3 linked regions of the Drosophila melanogaster genome follow. The protein of the gene in region 2 interacts with the protein of the main gene of each other region in a pairwise test. Each region holds a gene or a part of one and is shown on either strand. Other genes may lie near its edges.

Region 1 (6,461 bases), on a different chromosome or scaffold from region 2:
AAACGGCCGTGTGAGACAATCGCATTATTTACCATATACAATTCACGTAAAATGCAATGGCCATTTTCATGCCGTTTCAATGAAAGTAAAGAAAAATACAAATATTAACCACAAAGGCCTTGCTCACATCTGTGGGGGGTGGTTGTGGGCGGTGTGCGGTGGGTGGTGATTGGTGTGCAGTCGCCTGTATTTATGCATTTAAATTCGTCCGTTTCTCTATACGTATGTGTGTTCATATTGAATGGATAAAAGGGATTTGCGTTTATTTCGTTCTGCGTCTGGCCTGTTGGGTTCTTATGTATATATATATATATATATCCATATACGATCTGTCTATATGGCCGATGTCTGCGGGGCCATTTCGGAACAGAACGCAACACGCCGGAAACATTTTTGTTGTGCCATTTGCATTGCCATACAATTTTGCTCAACACATTGGCAGCAACAACGGGCCCATTTGGTTTTATATTTCATAAACCGGGGGGATACGACGAAGGTTTCTGTTTTAAGCGGCAAGTCAGAACGTATAAAATACAATAAATATGTCATAAAATTGTGGGTTGTCACAAACACTTTATATACATTTGTACCGAAAACCAGTATGGGCACCTTTCTGAAACTATATATTCATTCTCTATATTTTCACTATTTTACTAGCTATTTGTATACAGCGTAAGTTCTTTATTACATTCTTTCAATTTACGCTTGTCCAGTCCATCTTAATATTTACTTGTTCTTAAACGAGCACCGGAAATGATCGTTTGAGCTGTGCTAATTGAATGAAATGTTAGACTCGGCTGGGAATTAAAAAAGAACTGCGTATTTTCGTTGACTCATTTCACATTTTTAAATATATTTGGTACCTGGTGATTAGCTACAATTTATGCAAATGCAAGATCATACAAATATTTTCTACAATGGCATCGCGACGAGAGCACGTCTGAGTTTAGAATGCAAATATTAGTGCAATTGTACGTGTCTTTGGCGGTGGCAGCTCCTCAATAAGTTAAAATAAACTATGAACTAAACGAATAACAGTTATTAGCACGTGCACGCAGAAATGAGATGGCACCAGTGGTGGACAGGACAGCCTACTGGACCTTCTTGGCCTCCTTGGGCGCAATGGGTAGTCGTTCGATGGCCTCCTTGTACAGCTGGTTAAGGCCAAAGGTGGCGCGCACATTGTCGCTGGAGAAGAAGAACTTTTGCAGTTTACCCTTGGAATCGACGCAGGGCCTGCGGTCCGTCTCCTTGCCCTGTTGGAACAGGATCACAGTTGGTAGCTGTCGGGAGAAGCTGCTGTCCGAGATGCGATACTTTTGGGCCACGTCCGGAAAGCGTCCAATGTCAATCTTGCCGAACTTCAGGTGGTCCGTGTTGTACTCGGCGGAGAGCTCAGCAAAAACGGGGGCGAAGTTCACGCAGCTGGGATTCCACACCGTGTAGAAGCAGATCAGCCAGCTGGTTCGCTTGTCCCTGGCCAATTCCTCCTCGAAGACCTGTGCGTTGCGGAAGTAGGTGATGTGCTCGGGTCCGCGATACGAGGGCTCCGGCAGCACCATGCCCACCAGGACGCATAGAAGCAGAAAGCCCAGGCCGTAGCGGAAGTCCGCGTAGGCCCACAAAATGGCGTTGGCCACTTTGGTGTAGAGGAACGACGAGGCCAAGTAGTTAATCATGGTGACACTGCCCGTTTTGCGTGACCGTATCATCACCACGATTAGCAGGAAGAACAAGATTTCCACCTCACGACTGTCCAGGTCGCATGCTTCATCCTCTCCGGCGAGAATAAATAGGCGGGTGCAGATGAACTGCGTCTTTTTGGCCAAAAGGTACGATATGGCCAGGAGTATGTTAACCCAGTAGTATGGCTTGGCCAGCAGAGCCATCTGCTTCTTCCACGTCATCTCTGCGTCCGGGGGCTGAATGCGCTGATCTGGGTCACGATTTTAATTAACAATTTCCCGAGTTTTTCTTTTCTTGCTTTTGACAGCCAATTGTTAATTTTAGCCTCGCCGTTGACTAGAAATTAGCAGCCTAGTTGTCTGGCACGGGCGTTGCCACCTGATAAAAGAACAGTGGCACTCTTGTCAGTGCTGGAAATGGTATTAGTTCGTTGGCGCCTTTTCAAATTCAAAATCATCAATTAACAGTTTGCCTTTCTTAAACGTTCTTTGATACGTTTTATTTACTTATATGCATTATTATCTTACAAGTATTTAGTATTTAGTATTTAGCATTTTTTTTAAATGATAATTAATCAAAAGTTAAAACCATAAACAGAACTTGGGACAACCATATTTGTTTGCCCGAAAACCAACCGAAACTGATAAGCGAGTTATTGTTACATCAGCATTTTGCTAAAGTCATTGAGAGATTGTTGACCTAGCACACAAAGGCCACTGCAAAAAAAAGGTAAAAAAAAGGCATCGAGGATCTTCATTATCGGCACACACGCCGAGTTCAAATCTGCGAAAAAGCTTGGCTCTCTACGTGATCTCAGACGCTCGTGGCTTCCATCAGTCGCCTTATCACCCAAATATTATTTTGGCCTTTTTTTTTGTAGTTCCTAAATTAAATGTGTTTGGAACTGTGTGAATACTGTGAGAATTTTGTACCCACTTCATAGAGCATCACCAGTATTATCGCCATCGTGGCTGACTCTCCGCGTTGTGCAAAGATTAATTTTTTTGTAGTAAACACTGTGCGCGTCACTGGACTAAACGATTTATTTTTAATCGTATTATTGAGACCAATTTACGAGGGTCATCTCCATGATCCCCATCGGATCGATCACCCACCTCTTTACTGGTTTCACTAGTAGGCCGTTCTTTGTTTATACAGCGATTATTTTATGTTCAATACACTGGCAAATAAAGTGAGCTTGCTTCTATTTATAGAATATTTTCAACTGTGTTATTAGTAACCTCCTTATCGAATCAAACAACTTTCTCGTGGCTTTATATTTAAATTCAACCAATCATTCACTTTATAGTAAAAAAAGTATTAACAAAGACACTAGAATAAGACAATAGAATAAGAATTCTAGTGTCTTTGGTAATAATATATTAAAAACAATTAACTTAAAACAAAATAAGATTTTTTCAAGTGCACTGTTTTGTACAACTTGATAGAAATGAAATAGGGAATCAATACAGAAAATATTTCGAAAATCCGAGATCATGACTAATCAAAGTCAAATCTAAGGTGTTGATGCTTTTGCACCTTGTCTGCGCCAAAACAAAAATGAAGTGAAAATTTCAGTAAACAACGTGCACTTAGGTCAGTTTTTAATAATATTATAATCACAAATGCCTTTGCCAGCATGCTATAGTGTGTTGGCAGCCGGATTAATCTGGTTTGGAATAAAGTCTCGTAAGATTGTCAGCCATTTGAGTACAGGGACACTCGTGATGGGAACGAGAGCCCTTCATCTTGGCTGCGGCTAAAAAGCAAAACTGGTCTATAGATCCAGGGCTCTGATAGCCATATCAAGTACACAAATCTACTTCCCAGCCCCATCGAAACTTCCCGTAGAGCTTGGAAACAAATAGGCTTGTGTGTGGAAATGACAAAAAAAAAGGCAAAACCAAAACAATGACAACTGCAACTGATAAGTGGCACAAAATGGCGATCACTTGCCGGCTTTATAATCGCGCTATCAAGGCAGCCTGATCTCCTGTCTCCCGCTTATCACTTGGCGGCAGCTCCGAGCCGAACCGATCCGATCCGAACACGCGTTCTATAAATTCCATTCCCAGCCAGGCGACGTCTTCAGTTTAAATCCGAACCCTTGTGCTGAGTGTTCATCTCCGAGTAGCAGACATAGACAATCGCAGACAATCGAGCAAATCCCAGAAAAAACGACAGGCATCAAATGCCAAATCCATCGTGCAAAGCTAACCATTCCAATTGGCCTAATCTGATTCATAGTTGAAATTGTGATAAAAAACAAAAACCAAAGAAACTGGGACACATTTCGATCTAAGCGAAATATCCCCTATCCCACAAACTTTTTCCGGACTTTCAGTTTGGCCTTTGAATGCTGCTGCAGCAGTGCGGAAAAATCATCAATCTCGATCAGCATTTCACCGAGTGCTGGAATACAAGCCCATTGCGAAACTTTGACTTCATCATCTCCCTTCTGAGCGTTATTTCCCTAAGTGGTGGGTGGTGATTTTAGCCATGTATTTACAATGTATAACTAACTTTTGATGCTCCTCCTCCGCCTCCAGTTGTTAAGATGGCCGCCATTCCACAAGGTGCATTCGCAGCCTGCAAGATTCGCGAGCAATTCAACGAACGTGAGCTGATCATCGCCCGTCTGAGGTCCGCTGCCGCAGATAAGGGTTCCGTTGACAACGGGAACGCCCTAACCCGTAAGTGCACATGACGATCCACGATCTCGATCCGCTGGGTCAATGGAGCTCATACGCATCAATTTTGCATTTCCAGAACGCGAGTACTCGCCCAACAAGTACAACGACAAGCTGATGAACTCCATCTGGGGATTGTACAATCGCTATTCCCCCCACAATGTGAAGAAGAACGAGTACGCCCCCACCAAGTGATGACCTAAAGTGGGGCCACGTTCGCTTCCAGCTGACGTGCCCCAAACGCGACTAGCATCCCCACCAGGATGTTGGTCAAAATCAATTATATATTATATATACACAACTATAATCTCAAGCATATATCGATTTAAACGCACATAACACTTTGGTAACAAATATCTATTTAATGCTGTAATGTTTTGTAAAATTCAATAAATACTTATGATATTGTATGTAAAGGGACAAGACCATGAGGCGTAGTTTAATTTAAATAGCAGGACTCGTAGGTCGGCACCATGTACTTGATGTTGATGAAGGCATCCTCGCCGCCATGCAGTTCCAGCACCTGCAGCGTCTCATCGATCAGATCCCCCAGATTCAGATTGTTCTTCTGGGCATAGTCGATCTCATCGCCGCAGTTTACTATACAGCACAGAATATCCACTTCAATGGAAGTTACTGGAAGTAATCGAGTTTAGTGGAATACCTACAGTTTTTCACCTTAAATGCATTGAACATGGGCAGCAACTGGCGGTAGAAGGGCACCAGGGCGGGTCCCACCAAATCCGAGGACATGACCAGCTGTTGGATTATCTTCAATGTCGTGCACATTACCTCCAGGTTTCGTGTGCTCAATGCGTCTGCAAATGGGGGCGTATTTGGTTTTGGTTTTGTGCTCGCATTGGCAAGGTGCAAATTAGACCGAAAAACTTCGAGGCATTTGCGTGCCAGCCAATGCCCTGGTACTCACTCTTCAGCGGCAATATTAATTGCGGTATCACCGGGTGTATCTTCTCGCCCCCGGCCAAGAGGAGATCCGTGACCCCCTGGCGGGCATAGGTCTTGTAGGGATGTTTCGTCTCCGCCAGTCCGTCGAAGAAGAGCGGCAGATAGAGGCTGTAGTCCAGCTTTTCAATGTCCACCTAGGCGAGATACGGGAAGAGGTGACACCGTTGGCGGGTCAAAGGTGAATAGAGCCGCTCCAAGTTCGAAATTGGTTCGTGTACCGGCGGTGGCGCAAGTCTTGCAAGTGTACATTTGCACGCCATGCCGGTTAGGCGCCCTAGCTGATTTCCATTAAGATGCTCTTTGTTTGCTTACGTTGTCAGTGGAAAATTTTTAGAACACATCGAGAAATGGGCCTGTACCTGCCTATAGACTTTGCAGTGCTAAGTCTAGACTAATCTTTGTTCGAGAGTCTGCTTTGAGTATAGTTACCAGCTTAGCTTAGTTGATTTGAGCTAACAAAGGGTTATAATATAACCCACTATCTTAACCAGATTGTATTGCATATATGACTGAATGACTCAGAATAGGAATTTTACTTTGATTTTAAGAAGACAGCAACTTTATATTTAAGTCAAAGGCGACATCGCTGGCATCGCAGCTGCGTGAGCCTCACATATGGGTTTCCCCAACATCGACCTTCGACCCCGTGACGTAAATCAGGCAGTGTCACTCACATATCACTCTCCTGTCACGACGGCATTTCGGCCTAGATAAACAAACGCACCACCCAAATGACATACGCCGCATATGTGGACTCCACATCGAATATGGAGTGCCATCCAAGGTCTGTGACATTGAACCAGCCAAAGGGGTCACACACACACTCATGCGAGGTGGGTGGGAATTGGTTACACATAACTTTCCGATTGCAGCGGAGTTCCATGGGAAATTGACTGACAGTTGGACGGTGCGACGTTTTGAATGTCAGTAGTCGCATTCCGGACGGAATCGCTTGCCCGTCAGCCGTGGAGCTCTACTAACTCCGGAAATAGACAATGGCATATTATTTACTCGGTTTTTGCTTTCACCTGCAACACTTGAAATAATTGGACACGCAGGTGTACGAAACTCGAGCTAAATTCAAATATGGGCTTTGTCTATGGGTCACCGAGTGGTAAG
Region 2 (10,116 bases):
GTACTCCTGTGCCAACTCATCGAGCAGACTTATCCACTTGTCCAACGTGTCTCCGTGCCGGTTCTTAACAAAGTGAAACGCCACCACCTTTGGCCCATCAAATGTGAACCTCCCACCCGGCGATTTCCTATCCACTTCCGTTAATGGCGGTAGCCACAGAATCCATGGAATGGAGTTATTGTCGATGGTGTACGTCTTCACAAGAGCCATTTTCTCTCCGGACGGGAAATCGCTGAAGTAACTGTATTGTTGTTCCCAAAGATACATTTCCTTTTATACACTGCATGCATCACCGTTTAAATTTCACAACCAAAAAAGCTCACAGCAGCGAGCTTTTCTTAACATTGATTATGTTTGGAGTTTAACAGCTGCAACTCAATAACATGTTCATAAAACTAATTATTCCAATTGGAAGAAACATTTAAGCTTAAAGATTATGAGAAAAATATGAAGAATTAAATCTTAGGAGGCAGGGACAATACTCATTAAAAATAAAAGTTATTAAACTGTTGTGATGTAGTCAAATTTATTAAATTCCCTGAATACTTAGGTGTAATAATATTAATTAAATATCAAATGAACTGCCAGCGCAGTCGTTTCGTTTGCGAATCAAACAAAAGATAAATAAAAATTTGAATGTGTCTGTGAATAGAGGTGCTCTGCCGAATAATGAACTACAACCTAGCACATACAATCTATAACTTAACTGGTGCGCCAACTATTCGTGTGTGTACTAAAGCGCTGACCAAGTCAATTGGTCTATGATAAACAGAACCCCCAGAAAAGATACGCACAACCGAAAACTAATCAACAGAGTTAGCCTAAGTCTTAATATTATTTACGCGCTGCGGTAAATATATATAAAAATAGAAAATACAGTGTAGATTCCGTTTGGGCGCACAATTGCTTTCAGACGCCATTAACCCCGACTCCAAGTCCGACCTAGAAGCGCACCTGCTTGAGCTTATCGTAAATGCTGAAGTACAGGGCCGTCGTCATGCTTGACTTAAGGAGTGTGGGGGCCACGCCCTTGTACAAGCCCCTAACGCCCTCTTGGCGCACGGTCAGCCGCAAACAGTCCCAGACTCCGTGGCACTGCAGTGTCTGTCCGAAGGTCTGGCGATTCGACTCGAAGCCCTGGATTTGCAGTCGCTTTTTGATCAAATCGAAGGGATACACGATCGTCTTGGATAGCATGCCCGAGGAGGCGCCCAATCCCAGCAGCGTCCACGTGGGCAATTGGCTGCGATCGCTCACCTCCAAGAAGGCACACGCCCAGTCGCTGAACAGGCGGTAAGCCATAAAGTTGGTGCCCATCAGCGGCGTTATTTGCAGCAGGGCGGAGGACAGACCGCGGTACATGCCGCGAGGTCCCTCCTGGCGGACAATCGCCGACACAGCCCTTGTTGCATTCCTGTATCCCTTGCTGGTGTCCTGGGCAATCAGACGAGTGCGGATGACGTCCAGCGGCGTGGATATGATCACTGCTGCTCCTCCGGCCGCAGCGCCGCACAGGAAGTTCGATAGATGCTGATGATCCGCCAGATAGCTGGTCTGTTTGGCCATCAGGCTGAGCTGCTCGTACGTCCAGAACTGACAAATGCCGTACATTATGCTCAGCACTTGGGCAGGATTGTGTCCCTTCCAGAAGGCCAACATTCCCTCCTCGCGGTATATGGTTTTCACCGCCTGTCCGATGGATGTGTATTTGGAGGTAAGGGCTCCTGGTCCCTCCTTGGCGGCGTTCTTGCCCAGCGGCTCCACCTGCAGCTGGAAGCGGATCTTTAGCACGTCCAGCGGCTGGCAGGTGGAGCGCGTAATGGCCGCCGAAAGTCCACCGGCCAGCATTTGATGCAGCTGCTCCCGCGTACTGTGCTTGCGTCGCGGAACGGGAGTTGTGGTTGTGGTCGCCTCACTGGTGGAGCCTGTGGTTACCGCCATGTCTGCGTCGGAGCTACCTTTGGTTTTGCTTTTCGTGTGCGTATGTTTGCTCGTGCGGATTTCACTTTTATTGCTGCGACTGCCAACTTTTCAATGGCATTTCTGAAAATAAAGAAACGCAGACAGGTGGAGACGTTATTACAGTCGGAACTATGTAGATGCAACTATTAACTCGGACTTAGCAACTTCTATGAGGCTGGATCTAATAGGTATAGCTTATATATTATCATAAAGAATTTGTTTTGAAGGTTACTTGTAATTTACTTGACTCTTGTGAAATTCAAGGTAGATGCTGTTAAAAAGAAAGCTTAAGATTGTTTCTTGATAAAAATGAAATATGCTAGGTTTTACTGGTATCAAAGATGGAGTTTTCGAAAATCCGACTTAGCAAAGCTTGCCTGTAGCTTTCATTCAAAACGTTTTAGAGGTGCGGCAGGGCGCAAACTTCGACTTGTTTACACACATTCATCAAAGTCGATGGACAAATTGTTGTGTACAAGTGCGTAGACAGGAATTGGGAAATAGTAGGAGTGGAATTCATCTGAGGATGAGACTTACAAGTATCATGCTCCACGGAGCGTGCGTATGTCTCTGCGATTACTTCACTATTATCTCGGTCGGTTATGGCCAATTGCCCGCCAATTCGCAGAGCTCCCAAGTTGACTCCAGGTTCAAACGGCCGTTCATTGATTGACAATAGCTCGGTTGGTATTCGGGTTTATCAGCGATTTCACTTTTTTCCGCTTTTGTTGTTCGATGTCTCGGCGACCGTTGTCCAGTTCCCAAAATTCCGATGCTGCTGCTCAGATAAAGAGACAAAGGCATTGGCAACACGCTCGATGGTGATGATGATGATGTTGCTGAATGTCCAGAGCAGCGCACTACAATCTGAGCTCACCTGGAGCAGATGCGTCCGTTCGCGGGCAGAGTGCAGCAGTGACTGCGGCGCCGACGCTTCTTCATTACAGGCGGCGGCCCGTGGATTGCGTCAAAACTTTCTTTTCGCCAGACTTGTAATAGCGCCGCCGTTGAGATGCCGTTGCAGTTGTGTCAATCCCCTGCTGCCGCTGTCCAAGTTGGCCGCTTCCCACTTCCACAAACTGGTTTTCCGAATTCAAGACGCGCTGCTTCAAACCTCTACGCAACAACAACAAAACAAACTAAATTACGTCGCCAAGTGCACGGAATCAGCTGTTCGAGCCGCTGGCGATGAGCTTTTAGCGAACAGCGATGGCAACTATCGGCTATCGTGGTTGACAACAATAGTAAGAAAATAGCTAGAAGCTAAAATTCAGTTTTAGGGTTTTCTTAATTGGGAACATAAATATTTTTTAATAGTAAGCATAATTCCTGAAACCAGATCACTATGTTTATACTCGAGTTAATAAAAGGCCATTTAGGATTAAAATGATACTAACTATCGATATTAATATAGCTGTCACATGCACAGCGTTGCCACTTATGCGGGCTTTCTTGTATATTTAAAAATGCCTTAAGGTGTAGAATACAAAATGGTTAAGTTATGGTCCCTATTTCCACCCAATGCCGCCAGTGGAAGAGGCGGCTGGAGCACTAGGCGTGGGTTTATAGTCTGGTGGTATACTGAATCCAAGCACCTCAAAATTACCGCCTGGCGGAGAAGCAACAGGTGTGTTGGTCGTATATGGTGGCGATTTTTGTGCGGCTGGCGACACAGGATTTGGTGTGAATTTCACAGGCGTAGCAGGATGCGCCTCCTCTGCCTTGGGATAAAGACTGGGAAAATTAGCTGCCCCGTTTGAGCCATTGGTTCCAGGCTTCCCATCAAATGGATAGACGGGATATCTTGGCTTAAAGGTGTTGGACTCGAATTGCTCATCGCTGACGTCCTCCTGAAAGTTGGGTGAGCCTAAGCCGGAGAAACGTCGATTAATAACACTTTCGATTATGCTTTCTTTAGTGCAAAACCCACCTGGATGAGAGGCACCACTGGGCTGGGACTTCTCCGCCCCGGGCCCCTTGTCATCAGCACTTCCCAGCAGCGGCACTGTGCCAATGGTTATTGGAAAGTCCATGACCAAGTCGCCACCACCGTGCAGCTTGAAGGTCTTGGCGATGAATCGCAATGTGTAGCTAACTCGAATGGGATCCTTTTCGCTTTGCGTGGATGGAGTAGTTGGCGGCACCGTGAGGAACTCATCGAACTTGGCCTTGTTGTGCTTCAGCACCTCACCGCAGTGCTTGTCCGCCACCCGAGATTCGGTTACCTTCAACTGCTCCTTTGCGCCCGATGAGTTGGCTCTATATGAGACGTTCTTGATCAGACGCACCTTCACGTCCATACATTGGACATCCGACTGGTTGTCCAACACCAGATGGAAATGAATCTTCTGGCCGGGGACGTAGGCAGAATAAGAGGTGCTCACGTCCATGATCATCGGCTTGTGGGCACCGAAAATGGAGCCCCACCAGAAGCTCTTCGACTCCAAGCGTTGGAGGGGTTCCTAAGGGAAGTGCGCTTCATAAGGTTATTCAGTTTGGAAGAACAACCAAGACTACATACCTTATACTCGAGCCGCCTATTAAGATCATGTGGCAGGATCACCGTGAAGCACTGCTTAAATGTGTTGTTGTAGCGAACCGCGCGATCGATGGTTAGGGTAACCTCGTGCTTAATCTGACCATGAGCACCATTGAATGAGGTGGGTGCATTGGGCGGAATGGTAGCCCGGAAGGGAAAGACGTACTTGCCGGTGGGCAACTCCAGCTGCGAGCCACCGGCCTGGCCGTAAACCGGCTGGTCAGTGCTGTAGTAGACCTCGGTGGTGGTGTGGGTCACCAGGGACTTGGTCGTCTTCCCATCCTCTCCCACTCGCTCCTCGCTTTCCTGCCAACGCGTCTCGCCGTATCCATTTATGGTTATAAAGATCGCTGCAATTGGATTAATTTGTCTGTACTGCCGGGTATGTAATTCAATTATGCATTTAGTTTAATTGCCATTGACCTTGGACCTTTTGTGTGTTTCGGATGTAGAATTGTATTGGAAAATTGCTCAGCTACAAACAACTGTCTTTGTTAATGAACTAACAATAATTTAATCAGAAGCATAAAAAAAACGAATGCTACCTAATAAAGTTCACCATCAAATTAAAGCGCTGCTAAGGCTCGACTATTTGATACCCTAGGAAATATTTGATTATTTGAATTTGAACCGATGGCTAGGGTCCACTTAGCTTGCTAATGGGATTTGTATAAATTTATATATATATGTATATCTGCATGAATTACGCCTAATTGACCCAAAATGCTACCTATACACTACAATTTAAAGGTATTGGCACGAACGGGCTGACCAGTAACTGAATCAAATATCTAATAATACAAACAGCGTACGCAATTTCAAAACAAAACTAGTTTTTACGCCGCTATCAGATATCCGCCAGCCAGCCAAGCGGCCACATGTGTGTTGTATATAAACTTTATGTATACATACATATATGTACATTTGTATATACAATACACATCTTTCAAGCATATCTACCGGCAACAATAACATTAAACCAGCGGATAACAAAGCACCAACAATATTAAGTGGATATTTATTTATTAGTGGATGGTAAAACGGTATGGGATTCAGAATTTGAATGGTGATGGAGGGGGATGACGTCATGGTTTCGAGTCCATTAGAATACATATGTATGTAGTGCGTCTTCTTCCGCATGTCGGTGTCACTTACATCGAATCGTCTTGGGGCGCTCCGTAATCAGTTCCGCCGTGCCGGAGATAAGCTGACCGGCTTGATAGAGCCCCAAAGGATTGCTGTCGAAGACGAAGTTCACCTTGCTGCTCATCCTGTCCAGAATTGGCTCCTTGGCGACGGTGTCGGGTGGTATCGCGCTATCAAGTTCCTTTGTTTGTTTTATTGATAGTTGGTGGAAGAGGTAGGGATTCGATGTATTCGAGGGTTCCGGCGACTCAGCTCGCAAGCTCCGAACGCGAGCAGCTCTGGCTTAATACTGAATTCTCAAAAGTCTTTGGTGAGACCGAAGAACCGAGAAGCAAACTTTTGTGCGCGAGAGGTTACAAGAAGAAGAAGCGAAGGACAGAACGGGGAAGCACACGAAATACTATATGGAGCATTATGCTGCTAAGCCAACTAAAGTTTAATCTTAATAAAATATGTATGTATGCTTCAATCATCGCTGACATCTAAGCTGAGCGTTTTGTTATCTATACAGTAAAATATTTGGTAATTATTATTCGTAGTGAAATATATCAACTTAAATTATTGGCGATATTCAAACAGAGAGTTTCTTCTTCTCTTTTCAAACATCAAACCATAAAAAAAGACCATTACTACCAAGCATTTCTGAACTCTTGCATTACAACTGAAAACAGTGCATTTAAGAAACGCTGTTTAGAACTTAAACTTTAAATTAGACACATTTGAAAATACCGATTAAAAAGTCTGCGAATTAACCGCTTCAGCTGGCCAGGCGCCCGGTGGCAGCACCGCGCAACAGCTGTTCGTGCTATCGGACCGCCGCTCTCACGGTTATCGAAAGAGAGCTGCAGCTACAACAAAAAAGCGTAACTCACGGATCTCGTAAATTTATAAGAAATTTAATTATTCAACCCGCCAGCGGACGACAGCAATCGAATTAAATTAGCCCGGGGTGTGCGACCAACACTTGTGGGCCATTGCGAATTGATGGATATCGAGATTCCCCAAGAACTGGCCACAATCAGCGCGAAAAAGCTCCCACTCACCGCGCGGTGTGTGTAGTAACATCAAATCGTAAATCGTGAGGCGAGTGCGTGTGGTGGTGCTACTATTCTGCATATACTTTAGGGTGGTGCGGGCCGTGGTGCTGCAGTGCATCCATGTACGTTTGTATGTGGCGGCATTTTGATGACGAAATTATTTTTGGATAAGTGCGTGAGGAAAGTGGCCAAACCGGAGGAGTCATCACCATCAACGCCAGCGGAATGGAAAGCGAGCGGCTGCGAATCACGCTGGACAGCGCGGATCGGGTTTACTTTGCGGGCGACATAATTCGCGGCGAGATCTGGATGAACGTCAACAAGCGCACCAAAATACGCGGTAAGTGCCAGTCGAGCATAACTTGCCGCTTCCTGGAATGCACATCTCAAAGCTCGGCTTGCATCATCCATGACTCAGCTGTAGACACGCAGAGAAAGTGTTTCAAAACCCTACATTTAACGTTAGGCTCTTAGTTTATGATTCTGGGTATTGTTTACATGTGTACATATAGATCGTATTACCGAAAAGATTTAGCTTAGATATAGTAATCTAATATTAACAAAGATGGTTTTCTGCACAACCCATCATGTACTCCACAAATAGAAATGTGCTTTTTTCTGTTTTGTCAGCGGTTTGCAATCCATTGTCCGCCCGATGGTCAGCTGGACTTTCGTTGCGGCCCCATTCGCATAAACAAAGAACTCCATCAGTTAACAAAGCACAGCGGCCATTTTATGGGGCTTCCTCCCCCTCCGCTTCACCGCAATTTCGAGATTCTTGCTCGCAAATTCCTCTAATTGCCTTCGGCGCTCGCCTTTCATTCATCGATAAGCTTTCAATTGCCGCCCGTTGCAATTGCAATTGAATTTCTTTTCGTTCTTCACGATTCTTGAGTACTGGCATTTGTTTCAGGAAATGCCAACCCAAACGCATCGCGCGAGAGGGGAGTGTAGACGGTGGGGGCATGTGCGAAGAGAGGCACACTCAGTTGGCGTGCCGAAAAAGCCGTAATATTGGGCCAAGCGCAAGTCGGGTCTAAATGAGAGAGAGGTGAGAGGGCGCTCGCAGCACAGTGGTGGCCACAAAGGGGTTTATATAGGTTTTTTTTTTTAATTATCCAGAAATAAGATTCCCAGTAATGGTATATTCCGAAGTATAGTGTTTAAAAGGCAAACAGCTATCTCCATTTTATTATGAAGTATACCTTTAAAACAATAAGTGGTTTATTGAATTTTTTATAAATGACTTAAAGAATTTTAAATCTGACATAATTGGGCGCCCTTGACTGTACAAGCGCCTCTCTGTTGTGATTTGCCACTATACAGGTGTGCGTGAGAACAGCAGCTGGTCCGTGCATGTGTGAGTAAGAGAGCGCGAGACTAAACGGGAGCGCCACACTATCCCATATTTTTTAGAAATTAATGCGCTACGCGATAAAATGAAGGGCATTTGGGTGTCATGAGGTGAAGCTAAAAGTGTTGGCTTCACGCATGGGGCCAAGGGTTTGTGGACATTGCCTAAAAATAGATCGACGGCTGTCCGTTAACTGCCCAAAAGTCAAAGTCGGCTGTTATCAGCGCATATATATATATATTTATATATATAAAAAACGCGATTTATTATCAGAGCACAGAATACGAGTACAAAAATATGTTTATACAAAAAAGGGGGGAGCTGCAAGACATGCTCATGAGGGGAATGATATCTGTGGAAGAAGGAATACATGACAGCTGCTACTGTGTAAGGCTTCGCAATTACATTAATTATACGCCTGTTCCTCTTAACCGGCCCACAAACATACATATTTCATACGTATTCATTTATATATATCTAAATATATTATGCACTTAATTGAACACAGCAGTTTATCGTTAGTTTGTGCACATTGGATGTAATTTCGGGGTTGCTCCATTACGCATTTATGCGGTCGTTGAGGAAAAGCTCCATCATCGGCCAGATCTCCTTTGTCTGTTTTCCCTTGAAAGTGGCAACCAGACCCTTCTTTTCGTACCAGGCTATTACCGGGCTCATCACCTCATCGTAGAGCTCCAGTCGCTTGGCCACCACATGGGGTTTATCATCTTCGCGTTGCATCAGCGGCTCCCCCGTCACATCATCTTTGCCAGGCACTTTGGGATTCTTGAAGCCAATATTGTACACCCTGCCGGAGGGCGCATGGATCCAGCGATTCTTGACCCGGTCGATAATCACACTATGTGGAACGTCCAGCGTGATCACGGCATCGATTTGCTCGCGTGCAGCCAGTGCCTCGGCCTGGGCTATATTGCGCGGGAATCCGTCTAGGATGTACGACCTGTTGCCTACCTCGGTTATCCGGGCCAGCATCGTCTTGGTCACAATCGCGTCGGGCACCAGTTTACCTTCAGCAATGTACTGCTTGGCCTTTTTTCCAAGTTCTGTGTTTTTTATGATGTTCTGGCGCAGAATGTCCCCCGTGGAGATGTGCACACATCCATGGTTCTTGCAGATCAATTCCGAAATAGTTCCTTTGCCCGAGCCGGGGGCTCCGATTATCACAGCGCGAAAGATTTTCGTAAACATGTCTAAGCTCTAGTTCTTCAACCTCTCCTTGAGCTGCAAGACAAAAAATTGAATTGATACATGGTTAAATTTAATATGATATGATAAAAAAATTCGGTTTATCTATTTAATATAGGATCTGTTTTTATATTTTGATTTAGGGTCAATAACATATAATCTTGGCAGTAAAACCAAAATTATTTCAGTTGACCATACTCGACTACTTTTATGGGCGATAAGACTATCAAGCACGCCACAATTGTTTGATACAGAGGTGATGAAGGTCATAGTTTTCGCTAAAGCTTATGTGTTTTATGTGTGACTAATCACGGGAATCCAACCAATGATTCCATTCAATTTGTGAGCGAACACGGCAATAAAGAGTGGGTAAATATAACACTAAATCACTTGTCAGCTTTTGTGCTCGTGAACCAACATGCCGCTTGGTAACAAGTGTAGCGCAAACACTTAAAAGAGCGCCACCAGCAAAAACAACAAACAGAAGAGACAAGCGTGGCTTTTCAGCCTTATGTTCTTTGTCTTCATGTATAACCAGATATTGTTGTCGCCCCGCTTATCGTCCAAAGTCCGCACGGAAAATTATAGAGAATATATGTAGACATGTATATATGTACGTGTTTAGTGTTAATGTCGCGCGTGTTGTGTTGTTTTTCTGCAATTCTGCATTTCTGCACTGCACGCGGCCTTGCACTTTTACTGGCTTTCATAGTTATATAAATTAGCAGCTGGTAAAAACCACCTCCTTTCACACTTACACGGCACCTTGGTTTTTGGGAAAAATTTCGGGTGTCCGCCGACGTATCTCGGTAGCAATTCTCGTTCGCGTACTAATTTGTGCGATAACTTGTCGCCGTAAGTATTCTAATTTC
Region 3 (5,175 bases), on a different chromosome or scaffold from region 2:
AGGAAATTGTTTCGAAAATCACCGGGAAAGTGCAATACGCTTGGAAATCAGGGCTGTGGGTGCTAAGAGGTTTTTGGACTCAGGAACTTAGAGGCTGCTTGAGCCTAAAGCTTACCCATTTGTAGTACTTAGTAAAATGCATACTAATAATACCCCTTTATTTTGTGGCATCAAAAAACATATATATAAAAGCATATAAAATTCAAAGGAAACTTTAATAAACAAATAAAAACGTGGTAAAATGTGCTTGTTTGTCAAACTTCAAACTTTTCAATCAGCCCTCGTTTAAGCGCGACTAGCATTAAGCTCATTTGGGGAAGTGGAAGCAGGAACACACCTGCCCAGGTAATGCAAATTTGCTGTTACTGCCACGCAGCACGATCGCTGTCATCTTGCACAGCCACATCATCATCATCATCATCATCAAGGTTGTCGGGTAGAGGAGAAGGATAAGAAGGAGCGTCGATGTAGCCGTCGAGGAATCGATGCCATTTGGACCATCAGAGGGGCTTTTCGAGGCGCTGCAAGGTGTCCAAAGGCAGAGTTTGCAGTATGCCCAGGTAGCTCAGGAAGTCCTTGTACTCGAACACCTGGTCAGGTGAATCGGGTTTCGGTTCGTGGTACGGTGCCAAATCGTGACAGATGAACTGACGTGGTGGCACCGATGTCACGTCAAAGATCTCATAAATCTCCCGGTACCACCTCGCTCCGTCGTCCATGTCTACCGCTATCTGGTCTAAGCTAATGAGGAGGTGAGGGACTTAATTGGAGGTAGCGACAGATTTATGCACTTGGAAAAGTGCATTTCAGGAATGTTATAAAACCTCCACTTGTCCTTCTCTATTAGCGCTTTTCCCACCGGCAGCTTGATGATGCGGTCCACACGTGTGTCCCACTCGTCCAGCGATTCCATCTTCTGATGCAATTCACCGGACTATTAGGTAACTTACAAAATTGTTAATGCCCAGGTTGAATGCGAGCTACCTTTCTGCCAAGGACAACTGAAATATGCGGAAATATTCAAGTCAACAGGCGACAAGAACACAATGCGATCCAGTTGAATAGGGATGTCTCACGCAATTTGCATTCACTGCATATACATCCATGTAATACCGTTGATAATTTAGAACACAGCCTGTCTAATCAGTAGATCCTTCGAATTTCCTCATGTCTTGGGGCTTTCACTTTTGTGAATCCTTCGAGCGGCCAATTAGAAACACAATACTCCCCAAATTATGCGATACACCGCGACAAATTCAATTTGCCACACCCGCCCCATTTGCTATCCTGCTCTCTCACACGCAGCGAGACACGTGACCAGCGCGCCAGCAGTGCGAGCGGGACAGAGATGGCGAATGGGAGACACGTTGGAAGTTGTGCTGAAAAATCCCAGGAGAAATTAGTTTGATTTATGTTGAGTTTCCGGTGCAAATAAATTGCCAAGTTTAGAGAGAACTTTGGACGCACTGCAGACGCATAATTGATTATGCGAGTGGCGTACATCCAATTGGTGGGCGGGGATGGCGCAGGGGGCGTGGCGCCAGGAGGGAGCGCTGGTGGTTGGGCAGGACGAAGGTCGACAGGAGAGCGGTGATGACTGTACATTGTTAATGGTGAGTGGGCGAGGGGCTTATTGCTAAACACAAGCAACTCGTCAATTCGACACCCAATTATTTGGGATTTTTCTCGCGGTTGTCTTACAAAAGAACAAAATTTGTTAAAGAAAAAAACTTATTTATTATTTCGACAGTGCATTAAAAAAGAATATAAGAGAAACTAAATGTGTTTATATGTATTAAATATTACGTTTAATGTTTAGTTATTTATCATAATTCTTAAAATCAACGGCTTTTAAGAAAATATTTTCCTAAACAAAAATTCTAGAAAGCCCATTTGTGAAAATTGCTGTGACTTTCAAACTATATATACATAGTACTATATACATATATTTTTAGACGACCATCCCTTTTCCACCTCAGTTATATAAAAACCTCGTTGACCCACACAACATCGGCAACTATAAATTTGTTATTCATTGAAACATCTGTTAAAAAGAAAAGCAGAATGAGTAAATCATCCATGTTTCTTTATCACCCTCTCTCTCCGCCATTCACTTTTATTGTTACCTGTTTGTTTAATAAACTTTTGTGCGATGCATTCGGAGCGCAACTTAAGTACTTAAACATTTTTTTTTATCGCCGGACTTTGTCAGTTCAAATTGTTGCCCGTTTGCAAAGCGGAGTGAGAGAGATAAAAACAATGCGAGCGAAAGAGAGGGACATATGGGGCGGAAAGTTTGTCGCAAGCAAAGTTTTTGTGCGCAAATTGCAGTTTACTCGCTGCTTACTGCAACATCATAACTGCGGGCTACAGAGGCGATGGCATTATGTGGGCGTGGCCGAATGCAAAACTCCCCAGCCGATTCGAGGGTTTATTGCACTTGACTTGGGTCGGCCCGATGAAATGATTTCGAACACTGAGGATTGAGAATTTCGCAGAGCACAAGGCAAAAACTTTTATTTGAGGTCGAGGAATATTTGTATTTATAATATTTTTTGCACTGCTAAGTAACAGCTGTGAACCTCATTGATTTTATACATCATATAATGGCTAAAGTTGGAGAACGATTTATATTTCTTTCAGTGTAATAACTATGCGCCGTTGGCTTTGTGCACTGCAAAGTTTGCTTTGACACTTTGACATTGACAATGATGTATGTGCTCGCTTTGTTTGGGTGTGTGAGTGTTAGTCTGGGGGGCGTGTTCTTGGGTGGGCGGGTGCGACTAAGCTCTGTCATTAAATATCGATTTGTTGGCCATGCTCCGCCATTTAATAGCTCCAACTTAAAGTCAAAGATTTCATCTGAGCTCGGAGAACTCCACATTGATTACTGACTTACAGAAATGCGGCGGAGCATATTGTTCAAGTTGTATTTACTGCACTTGAATTGGATGCCTTTCCAATAGCTTTTTGTAGCACACTTTTCCGCAGTTTTATTAGTGCGAAATTTATGAGGGCACTGAAAACGAAAATTGCCAACGAATTTCATTCATTTGTCATGCCCTTTTATGGCCAACCGATGAAATGTTCGAGAACAGTAACAGCCATAAACAATTTCCAGCGTTTTTCAGCTGTTTACAAACAGCAAAGAAATGGTTTGTGGGCTAAAATGATTTTGTTGTTTGCCTCGTTTGAATTGAGCCATTTTACCGGCTGTGATTTGGCTAAAAGTTCAATGTACATAAATGTGAATAGTGTGGATGGGGCTAATTTCCGATTTGCACTCACTTCCTCTCGCGGGAAATGCAATCATAATCTCGACTAAATTATTCAGGGCTCCTCGAATGTTTACTAAATTCGTGAATATGGCCCATGAACGCATTTCGGCGGAGTTGGGGCACTCACTTTGCTGCTTACCAGCGGCAATTTTAATTGTTTTATTTTAACATTTAAAACCAATTTATATTTATGAAATTTCGTAAATTGGCAATGTCATAAAACGCACACACTCACGCAGACTTCCAGGCACTTGTGCCCTCAGGTCGTATTCGCAACATTTCCCATTTAGCGTGACATGCTTTCCCTTCTCCATTTCCCATTTTCCGCTCACCCATTCCAAAAGCCCCGGCATTTCGCATTTCGCATTTCCCAGTTGCCATTTGTGGCCCGCTGCCCTGTTATGTGGTAATTAAAATGACTCTTGGCCCATCTCCGACGCGTTTTTGGACAGCTTTTTACTGCCACTCAGCCGATGCGTCGTATATGCGTAATGTCTGGCTAAATTATTAATTTACTATGGCCCCGAACGAGTGTTGTTAATTAATTTGTATGCAAATGCCGGAAAATCGAGACTGGGTGGTGCTTGAGCCGGAACGAGTGGCTGATCCGCTTCAATGAATCGCTTCAAATGCTGACCAGCAAATCCCATTACCATTGAGTGGATGACGATGGTTGTGGTTTATTAATTGATACGAAATAATTATGGTTAGGTAGGTGAGAAGTTGGTCTGAAATGATCTGCGGATGGTTTTTATCTATTTGTTTGTCTCGCGACTTCATTGTGGACGGCAGTCCACTTAGTGACGAAGGGCACCAGTTAAATGTCTCTGCTGGTGACTCACGTTTTCATCTCTTGTAGGTTTATTACAATCCCAAACCTTCGAAGCTAATATTTTCAACATCCTGAATGCAAGGTGCACACTAAGCTGTACTGCGGTTAGTCTGTACGCTTTTACCTTTGCTGGATTGTTTGCACTGCGGCAACGGGGCGTGTGATTAATTTTAGCCGGAATAGCCGACAAAAACCCTTTCATTCATTCCGCTCCTTTGTCACAATAAAATTGGGGAGAAGGGTAGGGCAAACAAGAGCATATAATAAAAACAGTAAACATTTAATTGCCTGACAAATATTTGCCCTTCGCCCCAGCACCAAAAAAGGGGTTTAGGGCCAAGTTTCGAGAGCTCGACAAATAGGCGCTGATGAAAAACTTTAATAGTAAAACTTCCCCATTCGGCTTATGCTTTCATTTCTCCTTCTTCTTCTCCCATTTCTCCGCCTTTTCCCCCCAACTTTTCTCTTATGCATTATCGGCATACGCTGCTCATATAACTTTGCTCGTCGGCTGCCGTTGAAAGTTTTGCGCAGCTTGACAAAATTTTCAGAGCTATGCGATGGTCGCTATATATGCAAAAATCTTAAGCGAAGTATCGATTTTGCCGCCGGCTAAAAATTATTTACAAACGAATGAACTTTTAAAGGAGCCAACTCCAATTGAGTGGGTTGTCTGCGGTTCAGTTTTGTTTGTCTGCCAGCTCGAGAGTCCTTTGCCAATGCCCGGAAGCCCTACTACAAAGGACATCGCATGGCGGGTGAATTCTCCCTAATAAAATAAAAAAAAGGCACACAATATTTGGTAGGAATTGAAAGAATGCAAAATGAAAAAAAAATGGTTCAAAAAACCGGTGTCCCGTATTCTTAAATTTTTGTATAAAATTAAGATTATAAAGATTATTCGATTATTTTGATTTTTTAACTATACTACTACTTGAATTAAATTATTCAAAAAAACATTTGATCGCGGCTTATCGATAAGCTGATTACTGTGCTATCGATAGGTCATGATCAGTAAGTAGCTGCACACGATAGCAAGAATTCATCTAGAGATGACAATGTGGC

The links. Proteins that work in one complex are often made in the same cells at the same time.
Region 1: the proteins of Tpc1 (region 2) and CG11007 interact in a two-hybrid assay, tested with the Drosophila melanogaster proteins (one large-scale study listed by BioGRID).
Region 3: the proteins of Tpc1 (region 2) and CG12862 interact in a two-hybrid assay, tested with the Drosophila melanogaster proteins (one large-scale study listed by BioGRID).

What each region holds. Positions count from the first base shown.
Region 1 is NT_033778.4:19,498,634-19,505,094, reverse strand, and holds CG11007 (uncharacterized protein), read right to left. Parts: upstream 2,028-6,461; 5' UTR 1,908-2,027; coding exon 1,092-1,907; 3' UTR 501-1,091; downstream 1-500. Other genes in the region: CG16926 (uncharacterized protein), read left to right, coding at 4,043-4,166, 4,236-4,379, 4,456-4,571; CG15120 (uncharacterized protein), read right to left, coding at 4,816-4,976, 5,045-5,194, 5,305-5,476.
Region 2 is NT_033777.3:10,879,064-10,889,179, forward strand, and holds Tpc1 (thiamine pyrophosphate carrier protein 1), read right to left. Parts: upstream 3,126-10,116; 5' UTR 2,500-3,125; intron 2,044-2,499; 5' UTR 1,942-2,043; coding exon 943-1,941; 3' UTR 509-942; downstream 1-508. Other genes in the region: CG14695 (uncharacterized protein), read right to left, coding at 1-210; CG14696 (uncharacterized protein), read right to left, coding at 3,471-3,829, 3,893-4,424, 4,484-4,851, 5,657-5,771; leash, read left to right, coding at 6,910-7,024; Ak3 (adenylate kinase 3), read right to left, coding at 8,597-9,247.
Region 3 is NT_033778.4:14,639,714-14,644,888, forward strand, and holds CG12862 (uncharacterized protein), read right to left. Parts: upstream 914-5,175; coding exon 831-913; intron 742-830; coding exon 501-741; downstream 1-500.